2 linked regions of the Anolis sagrei genome follow. The protein of the gene in region 1 purifies or fractionates together with the protein of each later gene. This does not show direct contact. Links are inferred from orthologs where the notes say so. Each region holds a gene or a part of one and is shown in the gene's direction. Other genes may lie near its edges.

The links. Proteins that work in one complex are often made in the same cells at the same time.
Region 2: the proteins of GNB1 (region 1) and PFDN5 purify together in Homo sapiens (co-immunoprecipitation; 3 studies listed by BioGRID and IntAct, with this or other methods). This does not show direct contact. The link is inferred for Anolis sagrei from reciprocal best matches to the Homo sapiens genes GNB1 and PFDN5.

What each region holds. Positions count from the first base shown.
Region 1 is NC_090033.1:1,576,420-1,583,678, forward strand, and holds the start of GNB1 (guanine nucleotide-binding protein G(I)/G(S)/G(T) subunit beta-1), read left to right. Parts: upstream 1-4,216; 5' UTR 4,217-4,606; intron 4,607-7,259. UniProt on the Homo sapiens protein: Guanine nucleotide-binding proteins (G proteins) are involved as a modulator or transducer in various transmembrane signaling systems.
Region 2 is NC_090022.1:187,059,816-187,067,636, reverse strand, and holds the start of PFDN5 (prefoldin subunit 5), read left to right. Parts: upstream 1-4,762; 5' UTR 4,763-4,808; coding exon 4,809-4,880; intron 4,881-7,421; coding exon 7,422-7,524; intron 7,525-7,821. Other genes in the region: ESPL1 (separin), read left to right, coding at 32-190, 1,632-1,833. UniProt on the Homo sapiens protein: Binds specifically to cytosolic chaperonin (c-CPN) and transfers target proteins to it. Binds to nascent polypeptide chain and promotes folding in an environment in which there are many competing pathways for nonnative proteins.

The sequences.
Region 1 (7,259 bases):
GTTAATGGCGGATGCGACCGCGAAATACGCTAAAAAACCTCCAAAACCTTCTGAAGCTTCCCTCTCCCTCTGTTGTTGACTGTTGGTGTGATATTATAATTTTTTTTCACTAATTAAACCATAAAACTGGCCCAGACATGCGGAAATAATAACGAAACGACCTCAAAACAATAACGAAACGAATACAATATCAAAATACGAAGCATTTACAAAACGTTTTGAAAATTCGTTTTTTTAAATAATTGCTCCAGAATGGTTCGTTGTCGTTTTGTAATTGAAAAAATTAACGAATTATTAACGAATTACGAATTAACGAAACGAAACCGCCCAGCCCTAATAGATAGATAATTCATAGATAGATAGAATCCCAGAATTGGAAGAGACCCCAAGGGCCATCCAGTCCAACCCCGTTCAGATAGATAGACCATAGATAAATAAATAGAGATGATGATAGAATCCTGGAATTGGAAGAGACCTCAAGGGCCATCCAGTTCAACCTCTTTAGACAGCAAGCTAGCTAGACAACATGATAGAATCCCAGAATTGGAAGAGACCCCTAGGGCCATCCAGTCCAACCTCCTCAGATAGAGAGACCATAGATGGATAAATAGGTAAAAATTACTAAAAAGACAAGTTACTGCAATGGCAACAATAAATATATATGTATATATGGGGGGGGGGGTGTTATATGAATATTTTACTAAGAATTGTTTTGAACGGAGGGAGTGGCCAGGTTCAGGGATTTTTAATCTGCTTGGTTTACCGCACGGCTAGATGGTAAAGTAGGCTTATCTGCAAATAAGATTACCACCTAAGACAGTGAACTAAACACCGTCTTTCCTGGAAGGGAGCCATTCGGAGGGGAAAGAGGAAGGCTTGGGATCCGCAAGGCGGGCGGTTTGCTCACAGAGTGAAGCAACTTTGGTTCGGCAATCCATGACGAGGAAGCGCAGGGTGAAGACGGGCACGAAGATCCGCAAGATCACACCCTGAGCACGTGCCGGCAGTGGGATGCGGCAGCTAAAAGGGCCAATGCGATTCTGTGCTTCTCCTCCTCCTCCTCTGATGCTGGTTGGCATGCACTCATTGCACAACTCTTCCAAGGAATCTATGTTCTATCTATAATCTATGCACCTCGCTGCAATGTGATGCCTTTCAACCATACTCTTCGACATTTGGTGCGAAGCTGCGTGAAAACGGCCAGTGTGGACAGAAGTGTTTTAAGGAATGGATTTGTTTTTGGTTGAGATGATCCTTTTGCAATTCCTCTAGGTTGGTGCTCCATGCTGGTGCTCTTCCTTCCTTTTCTTCCATCTTTCCCTTCATTCTCTTCCTTCCTTCAATTCCCTTTCATTCATTTTCTTCGTTCCCTTTCTTCCTTTTTCCCCTTCTCTTCCCCTCTTCCTCTTCTTCCCACTCAATCCTTTTGTTTCTTTCCTTCCTCCCTTCACTTTTTCTTCCTTCTCTTCCTATACTTGTTCCTTCCCTTCCTTCCTTCCTCTGTTTCTTTTCTTCCTCACTTCCTTCCCACTCATTCCTTCCCCCCATCCCTTCCCTTTCTTCACTTCTCCCTTCCTTCTCTTCCATTTTCCCTCCTTCTCTTGTTCTTCCTTTCCTTTCACTTCCTTCCTACTTGTTCCTTTTCTTTCTTTCCTTCTTTCTCTTCTTCCTTCCCTTCATTTTTTCCTACTTGTTCCTTCTCTTCCCTTTCTTCTCTTCCTTTCAGTTTCTTCCTACTTATTTCTTTCCCCTTTCCTTCCTTCTCTTCCCTTTTTTCCTTTCAGTTTCTTCCTACTCGTTCCTTTTCTTCCTTTCAGTTTCTTCCTACTTATTTTTCCTTTCCTTCCTTCTCTTCCCTTTCTTCCTTTCAGTTTCTTCCTACTTGTTTCTTTCCTTTCCTTCTTTTCCCTTTCTTCTTTCTCTTCCTTTCAGTTTCTTCCTACTTGTTTCTTTCCTTCTCTTCCCTTTCTTTTCTTCCTTTCAGTTTCTTCCTACTCATTCCTTTCCTTCCTTTCCTTTCCCTTTCTTTTCTTCCTTCTCTTCCCTTTCTTTTCTTCCTTTCAGTTTCTTCCTACTTGTTTCTTCCCTTTCCTTCTCTTCCCTTTCTTTCCTTCCTTCTCTTCCTTCCCGTTTCTTCCTACTTATTTTTTCTTTCCTTCCTACTCGTTCCCTTTCTTCCTTTCAGTTTCTTCCTACTTGTTTCTTTCCTGTCCTTCTCTTCCATTTCTTCCTTCTCTTCCTTTCCGTTTCTTCCTCCTCGTTCCTTTCCTTCTCTTCTTTCTCTTCCTTTCTCTTCCTACTCGTTCTTTTTCTTCCTTTCAGTTTCTTCCTACTTGTTCCTCTTCTTCCGCTTTTTCCCTTTCTTTCCTTCCTTCTCTTCCCTTTCTTTTCTTCCTTCCTTTCCTTTGAGTTTCTTCCTACTTGTCCCTTTCCTTCCGCCTTTCCCCTTCCTTTCCTTTCTCCTCTTCCTTTTCTCCCTTCCCTCTCTTCCTCATGTGTCAAAAGGGAGTCCCTTCCTTCCTTTGTATCCCTTCTCCTTCTCCTCCTTCCGAGAGAGAGAGAGAGAGAGAGAGAGAGAGAGAGGCCAAATCCAGTCAGGCGGACTAGGCCCCAAAGCCAAGGGAAAGCTTTCTTTTCTTCGTTTTCTTCCTTTCAGTTTCTTCCTACTCATTCCTTTCCTTTTCTTCCTTCTCTTCCTTTCAGTTTCTTCCTACTTGTTCCTCTTCTTCTGCTTTTTCCCTTTCTTTCCTTCCTTCTCTTCCTTTCAGTTTCTTCCTACTTGTTCCTTTTCTTCCGCCTTTTCCCTTTCTTCTCTTCTTTTTCTTCCCTCCCTCCCCTCTGTTCCTCATATGTCAAAAGGGAGTCTCTTCTTTCCTTCCTTCCTCCCTTTGTATCCCCTCTTTTCCTCCTTCCCAGAGAGAGAGAGGGCCACCCCTTGTTGCCTGCCTGCGGAGGCCTTTTCCTTTCCTTCCTTCCTTTCCTTCTTTCTCTTCCTTCCTTTCTTTCCTTCCTTTCAGTTTCCTCCTACTTGTTCCTTCCCTTCCTTTTCTTTTCTTCCTTCCTTCTCTTCCTTTCCCTTTCTTCCTACTCATTCCTTTCCTTCCTTCTGTTCCTTTTCTTTTCTTCCTTCTCTTCCTTCCTTTCCTTTCACTTTCTTCCTACTCATTCCTTTCCTTCCTTCTGTTCCCTTTCTTTTCTTCCTTCTCTTCCTTCCTTTCAGTTTCCTCCTACTTGTTTCTTCCCTTCCTTCTCTTCCTTTTCTTTTCTTCCTTCCTTTCTTCTTCCTACTCATTCCTTTCCTTCCTTCTGTTCCCTTTCTTTTCCTCCTTCTCTTCTTTTTCTTCCTTTCCTTTCACTTTCTTCCTACTTGTTCCTTCCCTTCTTTTTCCTCCATTCTTCCCTTCCCTCGTATTGTCAAAAGGGAGTCCCTTCTTTCCTTCCTCCCTTTGTATCCCTTCTCCTTCTCCTCCTTCCCAGAGAGAGAGAGAGAGGGAGGCCAAATCCAGTCAGGCGGACTAGGCCCCAAAGCCAAAGGAAAGCTTTCTTTTCTTCGTTTTCTTCCTTTCAGTTTCTTCCTACTCATTCTTTTCCTTTCAGTTTCTTCCTTTTCTTCCTTTCAGTTTCTTCCTACTCATTCTTTTCCTTTCAGTTTCTTCCTACTCGTTCCTTTCCTTTTCTTCCTTCTCTTCCTACTCGTTCCTTTTCTTCCTTTCAGTTTCTTCCTACTCGTTCCTTTCCTTTTCTTCCTTCTCTTCCTACTCGTTCCTTTTCTTCCTTTCAGTTTCTTCCTACTCGTTCCTCTTCTTCCGCTTTTTCCCTTTCTTTCCTTCCTTCCTTTCCTTTCAGTTTCTTCCTACTTGTTCCTTTTCTTCCGCCTTTTCCCTTTCTTCTCTTCCTTTTCTTCCTTCCCTCCCCTCTCTTCCTCATCTGTCAAAAGGGAGTCTCTTCCTTCCTTCCTTCCTCCCTTTGTATCCCTTCTCCTTCTCTTCCTTCCCAGAGAGAGAGAGAGAGAGAGAGAGAGGGGGCCACCCCTCTCCGCCCGCTCGCTGAGGCCTTTTCCTGTCAGAGAGGGAGAGAGAGGGAGGCCAAATCCAGTCAGGCGGACTAGGCCCCAAAGCCAAAGCAAAGCCAAAGGGAAGCCAAGCCAGGCAAGGCGGGCGGGGCGGCGCGCGGGGTTTCCCGGACTGGGCCGCAGGGGCCGAGAAGGGAGGAGGGAGGGAGGAGGAGGAGAAAGAGAGAGAAGAGAGAGACCCTGAGAGGAGCCAGGAAGGAAGGAAGGAAGAGAGGGAAGCAGAGGAAGCGAAGGAAGAAGGGAAGCCAGCCCGGATGGCCGCGCCAGGCAGCTGAAAGGAGGAGCAGGCCCCTCTCCCCCCTCTCCCCCACCCCCGACGGCGCAGCCAAGCCTGCCTCCTTCCTTCCTTCAGGGCTGAGGGGACGGCACGGAGCGGCCTTCTTCGCCGCCGCCTCGCCTTCGTCGCGCCCCTCCAGGCAGGCAGGCCTCTTCCAAGGGAGAAGGAAGGCAGGAAGGCAAGGCCGAGGAGAGGAAGGAGGACCAGGCCCGACAGGGTCGCCAGCAAGGCCCGCAAAGGACGGCGCCAGCAAGGAGGTGAGCAAGAGGAAGAGGCCGCCTCGAGGGAAAGGACCCCGGTTGCTCCCCCCACCCCCCCCCCACTTGGAAAGGCCCCCTCCCCCTTATTTAGGCCCCCCTCCCTCATTTCAACCATCTCCCCCTCCCCCCTCCTCCTAGAAAGGCCCCTTCTTTCTCATAGGAGCCCCCCCCCCTCTTATTCAGCCCCTTCCCTCTTTAGAAAAGGACCCCCCCTCTTGGAAAGGCCTTCTCCTCCTTAGGAGGCCCCCTCCCTCTTTTGAAAGGACCCCCCTCCCTCTTGGAAAGGCCCTCCCCCTTATTTAGACCCCCCTCCCTCATTTCACCCATTTCCCCCTCCCCCCTCCTCTTAGAAAGGCCCCTTCTTTCTCATAGGAGCCCCCCTCCCTCTTATTTAGACCCTTCCCTCTTAGAAAAGCCCCCCTTCTTGGAAAGGCCTTCTCCTCCTTAGGAGACCCTTCCCTCTTTAGAAAAGGCCCCCTCCCTCTTGGAAAGACCCCCTCCCTCTTAGAAAGGCCTTCACCTTCTTATTGGGCCCCCTCCCTCTTTTAACCCATTCCCCCCCATCCTCTTAGAAAGGCCCCTTCTTTCACATAGGAGCCCCCCTCCCTCTTATTTAGCCCCTTCCCTCTTAGAAAAGCCCCCCTCCCTCTTGGAAAGGCCCCCTCCCCCTTATTTAGACCCCCCTCCCTCATTTAACCCAACCCCCCCCCCCTCTTAGAAAGGCCCCTTCTTTCTCCTAGGAGCCCCCCTCCCTCTTATTTAGCCCCTTCCCTCTTTAGAAAAGGACCCCCCCCTCTTCTTGGAAAGGCCTTCACCTTCTTATTGGGCCCCCTCCCTCATTTAACCCATTTCCCCCACTCCTCTTAGAAAGACCCCCTCCCTCTTATTTAGGCCCTTCCCTCATAAAAAAGCCCCCCTTCCCTCTGGGAAAGGCCTTCTCCTCCTTATGAGACCCTTCCCTCTTTAGAAAGGACCCCCCCCTTCTTGGAAAGGCCTTCTCCTCCTTAGGAGGCCCCCTCCCCCTTATTTAGACCCCCCTCCCTCATTTAACCCACCCCCCCTCTTAGAAAGGCCCCTTCTTTCTCATAGGAGCCCCCCTCCCTCTTATTTAGCCCCTTCCCTCTTAGGAAAGCCCCCCCTTCTTCTTGGAAAGGCCTTCTCCTCCTTATGAAACCCTTCCCTCTTATTTAGACCCCCCCTCCCTCATTTAACCCACCCTCCCTCTTATTTAGGTCCTTCCCTCTTAGAAAAGCCCCCCCCCCTCTTCTTGGAAAGGCCTTCACTTTCTTATTGGGCCCCCTCCCTCATTTAACCCATTCCCCCCCTCCCCATCCTCTTAGAAAGGCCCCTTTCTCAGAAGAGCCCCCTCCCTCTTTAGAAAGGAAAGGACCCCCTCCCTCTTGGAAAGGCCCTCCCCCTTATTTAGATTCCCCTCCCTCATTCAACCGATTTCCTCCCCCCTCCCCCTCCCATCCTCTTAGAAAGGCCCCTTCTTTCTCATAGGAGCCTACCCCCCCCCCTTATTTAGGCTCTTCCCTCTTAGAAAAGCCCCCCCCCTCTTGGAAAGGCCTTCTCCTCCTTATGAGACCTTTCCCTCTTTAGAAAGGACCCCCACCCTCTTGGAAAGGCCTTCTCCTTCTTATTGCCCCCCCCTCTTGTGAAAGCCCCCTCCCTCATATAACCCCCCTCCTCTTAGGCAGGCTCCTTCTTTCTTATAGGAGACCCCCACTCTCTTGGAAAGACCCCCTCCCTCTTATTTAGGCCCTTCCTTCCCTCATAGAAAGGACCCCCTCCCTTTTGGAAAGGCCCTCTCCCTCATATAACCCCCCTCCCCTGTTCTCTTCTTTCTCATAGGACCCCCCCATCCTTCCCCTCCTTATGAGACCCCTCCCTCTTTAAAAAGGATCCCCTCCGACTTGGAAAGGCCCCCTCCCTCTTATTTAGATAGACCCTTCCCTCTTTAGGAAAGACCCCCTCCCATTTGGAAAGGCCTTCTCTTTTTGGGCCCCCTCCCTCATTTAACCCCCGCCCCAATCCTCTTAGAAAAGACCCTTCTCCTTCTTATTTGACCCTTCCCTCTTTAGAAAAGACCCCCCTCCCTCTTGTGAAAGCCCCTCTCTCATTTACCCCCCCCCCGTCCTCTTAGAAAGGCCCCTTCTTTCTCATAGGAACCCCCTCCCTCTTGAAAAGGACTTCTCCTTCTTATTGGACCCCTCCCTCTTGTGAAAGGACCCCTCCCTCATATAACCTCCCCCCCTTGTCCTCTTAGAAAGGCCAATTCTTTCTCGTAGGAGCCCCCCTCTCTTGGAAAAGTCCCCTCCCTCTTATTTAGGCCCTTCCTTCCCTCATAGAAAAGCCCCCTCCCTCTTGGAAAGGCCTTCTCCTTATTAGACCATCCCCTCTTTAGATAGGACCCCCTCCCACTTGGAAAGGCCTTCTCCTTCTTATTGGGCCCCCTCCCTCTTGTGAAAGCCCCCTCCCTCAGTTAACACCCCCCTCCTCTTAGAAAGGCCCATTTTTTCTCATAGGAGCCCCCCTTCCCTCTTAGAAAAGCCCCCTTCCCTCTTGGAAAGGCCTTCTCCTCCTTATTAGACCCCCCCCCCCACCTCTTTAGAAAGACCCCTTCTTTCTCATAAGAACCCCCCCTCCC
Region 2 (7,821 bases), on another chromosome or scaffold:
TGCTGGTTTTTGTCCTTGCCCTTTCTTCTAGCTATGCTGGGCATGGTGCTGGTGCACGTTTTGTAGACTCCATCCTTAAAATGGACTGCAGGTCTGTGGCTCTTCTCTTTGGATGTAGCAGTGCTGCCCTTGCGGTGCAAGGCAATCTGGAGGGAACTGGTGCTGTCCTCAGGTTCCTCATGGCAGGATGGTAAGTTGCTTTACCTGTCAGTCTTATTCCCTTCTAAACTGGAATCCCCTATGAGACCTAGAAACTTTGGGCAGTGATTTTCAATATGACCTGCTATACAAAGAGTGAAGTATACCTTGAAAAAATCAAACTTACACAGAATGCCTTCCTCATCTTATGTATGCTAAGGGAGGGAGATCTCATATACCGTTCTCTGCCATTACGTATATGCGTAGGGCAGCGTTTCTCAACCTTTCTAATTCCACAACCTCTTAATACAGTTCAGAAATATATGTATCTGATTGTCTTTGGTTGATGATCAATCTGAAACCCCCTTGCAACCACCACCCCCAAGGGTCCCGACTCCCTAACACTGGTGTAGGGGGATTGGGCATGATGTGGTTCTCCACTTTAGTTTGCACTCCAGTAGATTAATGCTGGAAAATCAGAAAGCATTCCTATTGTCTAGAATGCAAGTGATTTGTCCTTGAACACTGATGCCTCAAATGAGAAGATGGAAATCTCCACCTTTGTGAGTGTATTTGACTTTCTCTCTGGGAGTTTAATTGATTAGTGCTTTCTCTTCTGGCACAATTTGAATGATAATATGATATGATATTGAAAGGTCTATAAGGCTTAGGTACAGGCTATTTCAGGAGCCCCTGGTGGCACAGTGGGTTAAACCGCTGAGTTGCTAAACTTGTTGATCGAAAGGTCACAGGTTTGAATCTGGGGAGCGGTGTGAGCTTCTGCTGTCAGCCCCAGCTTCTGCCAACCTAGCAGTTCAAAAACATGGAAATGTGAGTAGATCAATAGGTACTGCTCCGGTGGGAAGGTAACGGTGCTCCATGCAGTCATGCTGGCCACATGACCTTGGAGGTGTCTACAGACAACACCAGCTCTTCAGCTTAGAGATGAGCACCAACCCCCAGAGTCAGACACAACTGGAACTAATGTCAGGGGAAAACCTTTACCTTTACAGGCTATTTCAAGAACTATCTGTTTATATGAGTCTGCCAGAGTCTTATGATATTCATCAGATGGCTTTCTCTCTGTCTGACCATGCATTAAGGTTTGTCTCATGAACACACAAGAGAGAGTCTTCTTGGAAGCTGCTCATAGTCTTTGGGACTTTCTCCTGTGGGGATCTTGGTTGGTCTCTTCTCTGTCCTATTTCTGCCAAGAGGCAACTTCCTTCTTAATGAAACAGGTCTTTAACTGGTTGTAGTAGTCAGATATGCATAGATGTGCTGTTATGTCAAAATCTGGTTTTTATTTTTAAATTGATAAATAGCATCTTGGATGGATTTGTTGTTCAATGCTATAACCTTTATACCATATAATTCTTTAGCTATTATGTTTTAGCTTGCATTGTAAGCCTCTTTGAATCCCACTGTGGGAGAAAGGCAGGATATCAATAGTATAAACTTGTCTTCCTTTTCCCCTGTCCTTTGTTTTCCAGTCCCCTAGTGCTGGGCAATCTCTGGGATGTGACTGACCGAGACATTGACCGCTTCATGCAGGCTCTTCTGAAGAACTGGCTGAAGGCAGGCTCTGGAGCTCCTCTGCTCCAGTACATCATTCAGTCACGCCAGGCACCCAGACTGAAATACATGATTGGTGCTGCTCCCATAGCTTATGGACTCCCAGTTTTTCTACAGTAGAAAAGACAAGAGCCTGGTGGGAGACATTTGGAAGGATCTGGATAAACTTTTCTTGACTCTGAGTACTTTAATTGCAAATTGCCTTTGGAGACAAAGGATAAAAATGCTTCAGATGCATTTTTGGTGTATAGTAGGAGTATATATTTTGTTGAAGGCCTATATTGTTTTTAGACAAAATGTTTCTACCTGGGCTGCTCTTTCAAGTATTTAAGATTTGCACAATGTACACATTTTTAATTTCAGAGAGTATTATGAATGTTTCTTAAAAGCTATATGAATTTTAATGTTTCAAAACCTAAATAAAGTTTAAAGCAAACAATCTCCCCCCCTCCGTGTGTTTGCACATGAATCATGCACTATTATCATTGGCATTTGATTCTTGGGAAGTTATATCTAATCTTGGATGGCTGTCTATCTAGTTCTAAATTTAAATCTCCGATTTTGTCCTGGCCAATCTACTTTTGCTAACATTTCCAGTCTTGCTATTAAAATCAAGCAAGGTGAGAAAAGAAAGGTTAATGTTTTATAATTGTGTGTGTGATTGTAATTTCATAGTTTTATCATTTTTAGATTATTTATTATTTATATGCGGCACTTCGCTGTGCTTTGTTAGCTGCCCCGAGTCCTATTGGGGAGATGGTGGCGGGTAAAAATAAAATCTATTATTATTATTACAATTATTATTATTAAAAGAATAATGGATTAAAATGGCAATGAAAATAATAAATGATGTGATCTTGTGTCGGGGTAGCCTAGCACAATGTTTCTTGCCTTCATTTTTAACAACAGGTTTTAAACATTACTTTTTTAAATTTCATAACAGCTAGTTATGAAATTTAAACTGCAAAAAACTATTTATTATTGCATGGCCATAGCAATAACGACAAACAATGGGGCTGCAGAGCATTTATAGTAAATGGAATATACATTTTCATTGGTTCCCAAAGACAAATCATTTCATTGGTCTAAGCTAGCTATGCAGTTGTTCATTAGTTGTTTATGATTTTGATTGACATTTTAGCACACGTGGGATCCTAACAATGGCACAACTATAACATAACTATAGTCCATTGTTCTCTGATCATGACTGTATCTTATCTGTTAGTCTGTTGCAAACATGGCTTCAAAGCGACTGGGAAACTTGGGGGTTCTAACTAGCCAACAGCTACCTGGTTTTGTCCGGATATGTTGTTATCCTTGAATAGTAACTTCTTCTTTGGAGCACTGATTTCTCAATCAGCATTTTCTGTGAACATAGGCCTACTGCAGAAATAGGCCAAAATGGTAGTAAATCATGACATATAGGCATTGGGGAAATATCTGAAAATTCCCTTTTTAAAACTACGTCTCCTCCAGTACCAAATGAGAGCCCCCCCCCCCCCCCCCCCCGGGCACACAGAAGACTGGGTGACTTGGAAGGCGCCGAACAGACTGCGCTCTGGCACCACGAGATGCAGAGCCAATCTTAAGAAATGGGGCTACAAGATGGAATCCACGACATGCGAGTGTGGAGATGAGCAAACCACTGACCACCTGCTGCAATGCAACCTGATCCCTGCTACATACACAATGGAGGACCCCAGGTGGTGCAGTGGGTTAAAGCCCTGTGCTGGCAGGACTGAAGACCGACAGGTCGCAGGTTCGAATCCTGGGAGAGGCGGATGAGCTCCCTCTATCAGCTCCAGCTCCTCATGCGGGGACATGAGAGAAGCCTCCCACAAGGATGATAAAAACATCAAAATCATCCAGGCGTCCCCTGGGCAACGTCCTTGCAGATGGCCAATTCTCTCAAACCAGGAGTCACTCCTGACATGACAAAAAAAATATGGAGGACCTCCTTGTGGCAACACCAGAGGCACTCCAAGTGGCCAGATACTGGTCAAAGGACATTTAATCAACTACTAAGTTTGCAAACTTTGTGTTTTGTCTGTTTGTTTGTTTTGTTATAAAAATGTAATGCTCCTGACACGATAAATAAATGTCTATGCCAGAGTTTTTAAGGTTGGCTTTGAGTCCATCTTTAAATCTCTTTTCCTGTCCACTAACATTCCGTTTTCCATTCTTGAGTTTCCCAAGCAAAGAATGCCCCCAGGAAGCAACAGCCAGGTTTTGCAGCTGCAAGGCTGCTCAATGCTAATCAATTTGTTAACTGTAACATTCACACTATCTTTAAACAGACAAGGGTTTTTTCTCCCACCCTGGACATTTCCACAGATGTGTGTGTGTGGGTGTATGCGTGTGTGTGTGTGTGTGTGTATATATATATATATACACACACACACACACACATATATATATACACACACACACACTCCATTTGCTTCATAGCCAACAGAACTTCTGAGGAGGCCGGCCACAGATACAGGCAAAACGTCAGGAGAGAATGCTACTGGAACATAGCAATACAGCCCGGAAAACTCACAGCAACTCACAGTCATGGTGGCTATGAAAGCCATCAACAACAGAATACTAACTTGGGCCAGCAATGAAATGGACTGAAGGTATCCATATATAATACAGTTCGACACCGCTTTAACTGCCACGGTTCTAGGCTATGGAAGCCTGGGATTTGGTGAGGCGCCAGCACTTTGTCCAAGGAGGCTAAAGACCTTGTCAAACTACAACTCGCAGGATTCCATGGCAATTCAAAGTGCCAAAGCACATGAATAAGTAATTGTGCTTTGAATGCAATATTCCTGCTTCTTGGCAGGGGGTTGGACTGGATGGCCCATGAGGTCTCTTCCAACACTATGATTCTATGATTCTATTATGCAGCATCCCACCGTTTCCCTTCTATCTCTCTAGGAGGCGCCTCGCTCGCAGGCCGGAAGTGAGGTCATTGTGGCCAACCTTGCCGTTTGCTGGCAACAGGGCGTGGATTGGGCTAACGTCATAGACGCAGTGACCATAGACTCGACTGCTAGCGCGTCTTGAGGAGGAACGGCTCCTTCTTTCCTTCCTTCCTTCCTTCCAAGATGGCGCAGCAGGTGAACATTTCGGAGCTGTCCCTGCCGCAGCTGGAAGTGCTGAAGAACCAGTTAGACCAGGTGAGGGAGAGGAAAGCGGGGGAAACAGGGGCCTGGTCTCCCTCTGGACTGCCCCCCCTAGAGTTCGTCTGCACTGTGGAATGAAAACTGTTCTATACCACATTAATTGCCAGGTCTCACTTCTATGGAAGAGTGGGAGTTGTCGTTTTACCCGGCCTGCCAAAGAGGGTGGTGCTTCACTGAACTGCAATTGTTAGGATTTCATAGCATTGAGCAACGAAGCAGCTAAAGTGGTGTCAAAGTGCCTTAATTTTGCAGTGTAGATGCCCCGCTAGGATCAGGATGCGGGGTAGAGGGCAGGCCCAGTGTGACACCCTCAAGATCTCCAGGGGAAGGTTACAATCTCAAGGATTGATATCTTTCAGAGCGTAGATAGAATCATAGAATCAAAGAGTTGGAAGAGACCTCATGGGCCATCCAGTCCAACTCCCTGCCAAGAAGCAGGAATATTGCATTCAAAGCACCCCTGACAGATTATTATTATTATTATTATTATTATTATTAAACTTTATTTATACTCCGCTAGCATCTCCCGAAGGACTCGATGCGGCTTACAAAGGCCAAGGCCTCAACCCAACAACAATAGACAATAACAGTACGATACAAAGCAAATTAAAAACATAAGCAATAAGAAAACATTACACTATTACGCAATAAAACCAGGGCCGGGCCAATGAAGGGTACATATTAAAAAGTGCTGGGTGTGAGAGGTGGTGTGTTGGAATTCTGGGCAAGTGCAAGTGCAGAGAGTCTTAAACTCTACTGGGACATAGAGCTGGGGGTTATCCTATTCTGGAAAGGCACATCAGAATAGCCAGGTCTTCATGTTCTTCCTAAAGACTGCCAACATGGGTGCTAGTCTAATGTCTTTGGGGAGGGTGTTCCAAAGTCGGGGGGGGGGGCAACCACAGAGAAGGCCCTGTCCCTCGTCCCCACCAAACACGCCTGTGACGCAGGTGAGATCGTAAGCAGGGCCTCTCCGGATGAACGAAGGGAGTGCGTGGGTTCATAAATGGAGATGCGGTCATGCAGGTAAGCAGGTCCCAAGCCATTTAGGGCTTTGTAGGTAAGCACTTGCACCTTGAATTGGGTTCGGTAGATGGCCATTTAGCCTCTGTTTAAAAGCCTCCAAAGAGGCTTCCTGGCCTCCACCACACTCCAGAGCAGAGCGTTCCACTGCTGAACGGCTCTCACAGTCAGGAAGTTCTTCCTCATGTTCAGATAGAATCTCCTTTCTTGTAGTTTGAAGCCATTGTTCCGTGTCCTAATCTCCATTGAAGCAGAAAACAAGCTTGCTCCCTACTCCCTGTGGCTTCCTCTCACATATTTATACATAGCTATCATATCTCCTTTCAGCCTTCTCTTCAGGCTAAGCATGCCCAGTTCTTTAAGCTGCTCCTCATAGGGCTTGTTCTCCAGACCCTTGATAATTTTAGTCGCCCTCCTCTAGACATATTCCAGCTTGTGCTATTCGTTTAAATGGCACCTAGATGATCTTTTGGTTTGAATGTTGGAACTGATAACAACAACAACAACAATAATAATAATAATAATAAATAAACTTTATTTATACCCCGTCACCATCTCCCCAAAGGGAACTCGGGGTGGCTAACATGAAGCCAAGCCCAAAAATAATACAGCAGAGTTCAAAACAAAGCAACAGAAAAATTACATCACAGCAAAATACATAAAATAACAGAATAAAATAAACTGTGCAAAATAACATAATATAAATCAAACACAAAGGACAGGCCAAATGCGTGAGCTAAAATGTTAAAACCCTGGAAGAGATAGGAGTAAAAAAGTGTATTGAAAAGTGTATTTGTGATGGAGGAGCCCAAGAAGGGGAGCAGTAGGGTTTGGCCTTTATTAACTGATGGGTATTAGAGTCCAACAACATCTGGAGGACCACGGCTTCCTCATTCCTGGCTTAGAGCTGGGAAGTTCTCTATCATAAGAAAAAGGATCCCGTTCTTCGATAGAAATGGTCATACTTAGTTTGAATATTACCTTCTATTTGTGTAAAAGGAGCAGACGATATATGTAAGTCTGCTCCAAGTTTTTGCTGTGAAATGTGTTTGCATGTGCATGAGAGAGAAAAAAACAGAATACCTAACCAGGGGGATAAGCATACTGAATCACCACATGTCTATTAGGATTCTATACACTTTCTTTCCATTCAGTCTTTCCCTTCTGCCAAATGACTGTGCTGTCAATGTGACTTGTCATACAAATCTGCCATGGCTTTTGGATGGAAGTAAATGGTATTGTAATGAAGTAGTCGTTTCAATCCTGTTCTTCTAGACTGGGGTGATGAATGTGTGGCTTTCCATTGGTCCTAGCCAGGGTAACCAACAATGTCTGTTGTTTAGAAATACTACTCAGCAACATTTGGAAGAACCACAATTTTCCCATCTCTGGTCTAGATGTTCACGGTGTAGTGCTCCTGGTGGCAAATATTTCAGAATACCTACTTCACATGCAGCTGGTTGCTGGAGGTGATGGGTCTTTAACTTCTGAATTTTGTATGACTTTTCCTAGGAAGTGGAATTCCTTTCTTCATCCATTGCACAACTTAAAGTGGTACAGACAAAATATGTGGAAGCAAAGGACTGCCTGACTGTCTTGAATAAAAGCAACGAAGGCAAGTACTGTGTATTGTTCAAATATATATGCTATTCTCCTCAGAGTGAGCGATGAAAATAAAGCCAAAAAGAACCAATGAATTCAATAGGCACACTTTTTAGTAAGTAGATGCAATGGAAAAACCGACGTGACTTTTTAAAAGTGATTGAGGACAGATGTAAATTCTAACCATCTTTCTAATCAGCTAAGGAGAATGCTACTGGAACATGGCCATACAGCCCGAAAAGCTCACAGCAACCTAACCAAAAATGTGTCATTTAACAATCAGTAATATGTCAAGACCCTACAATTTAAA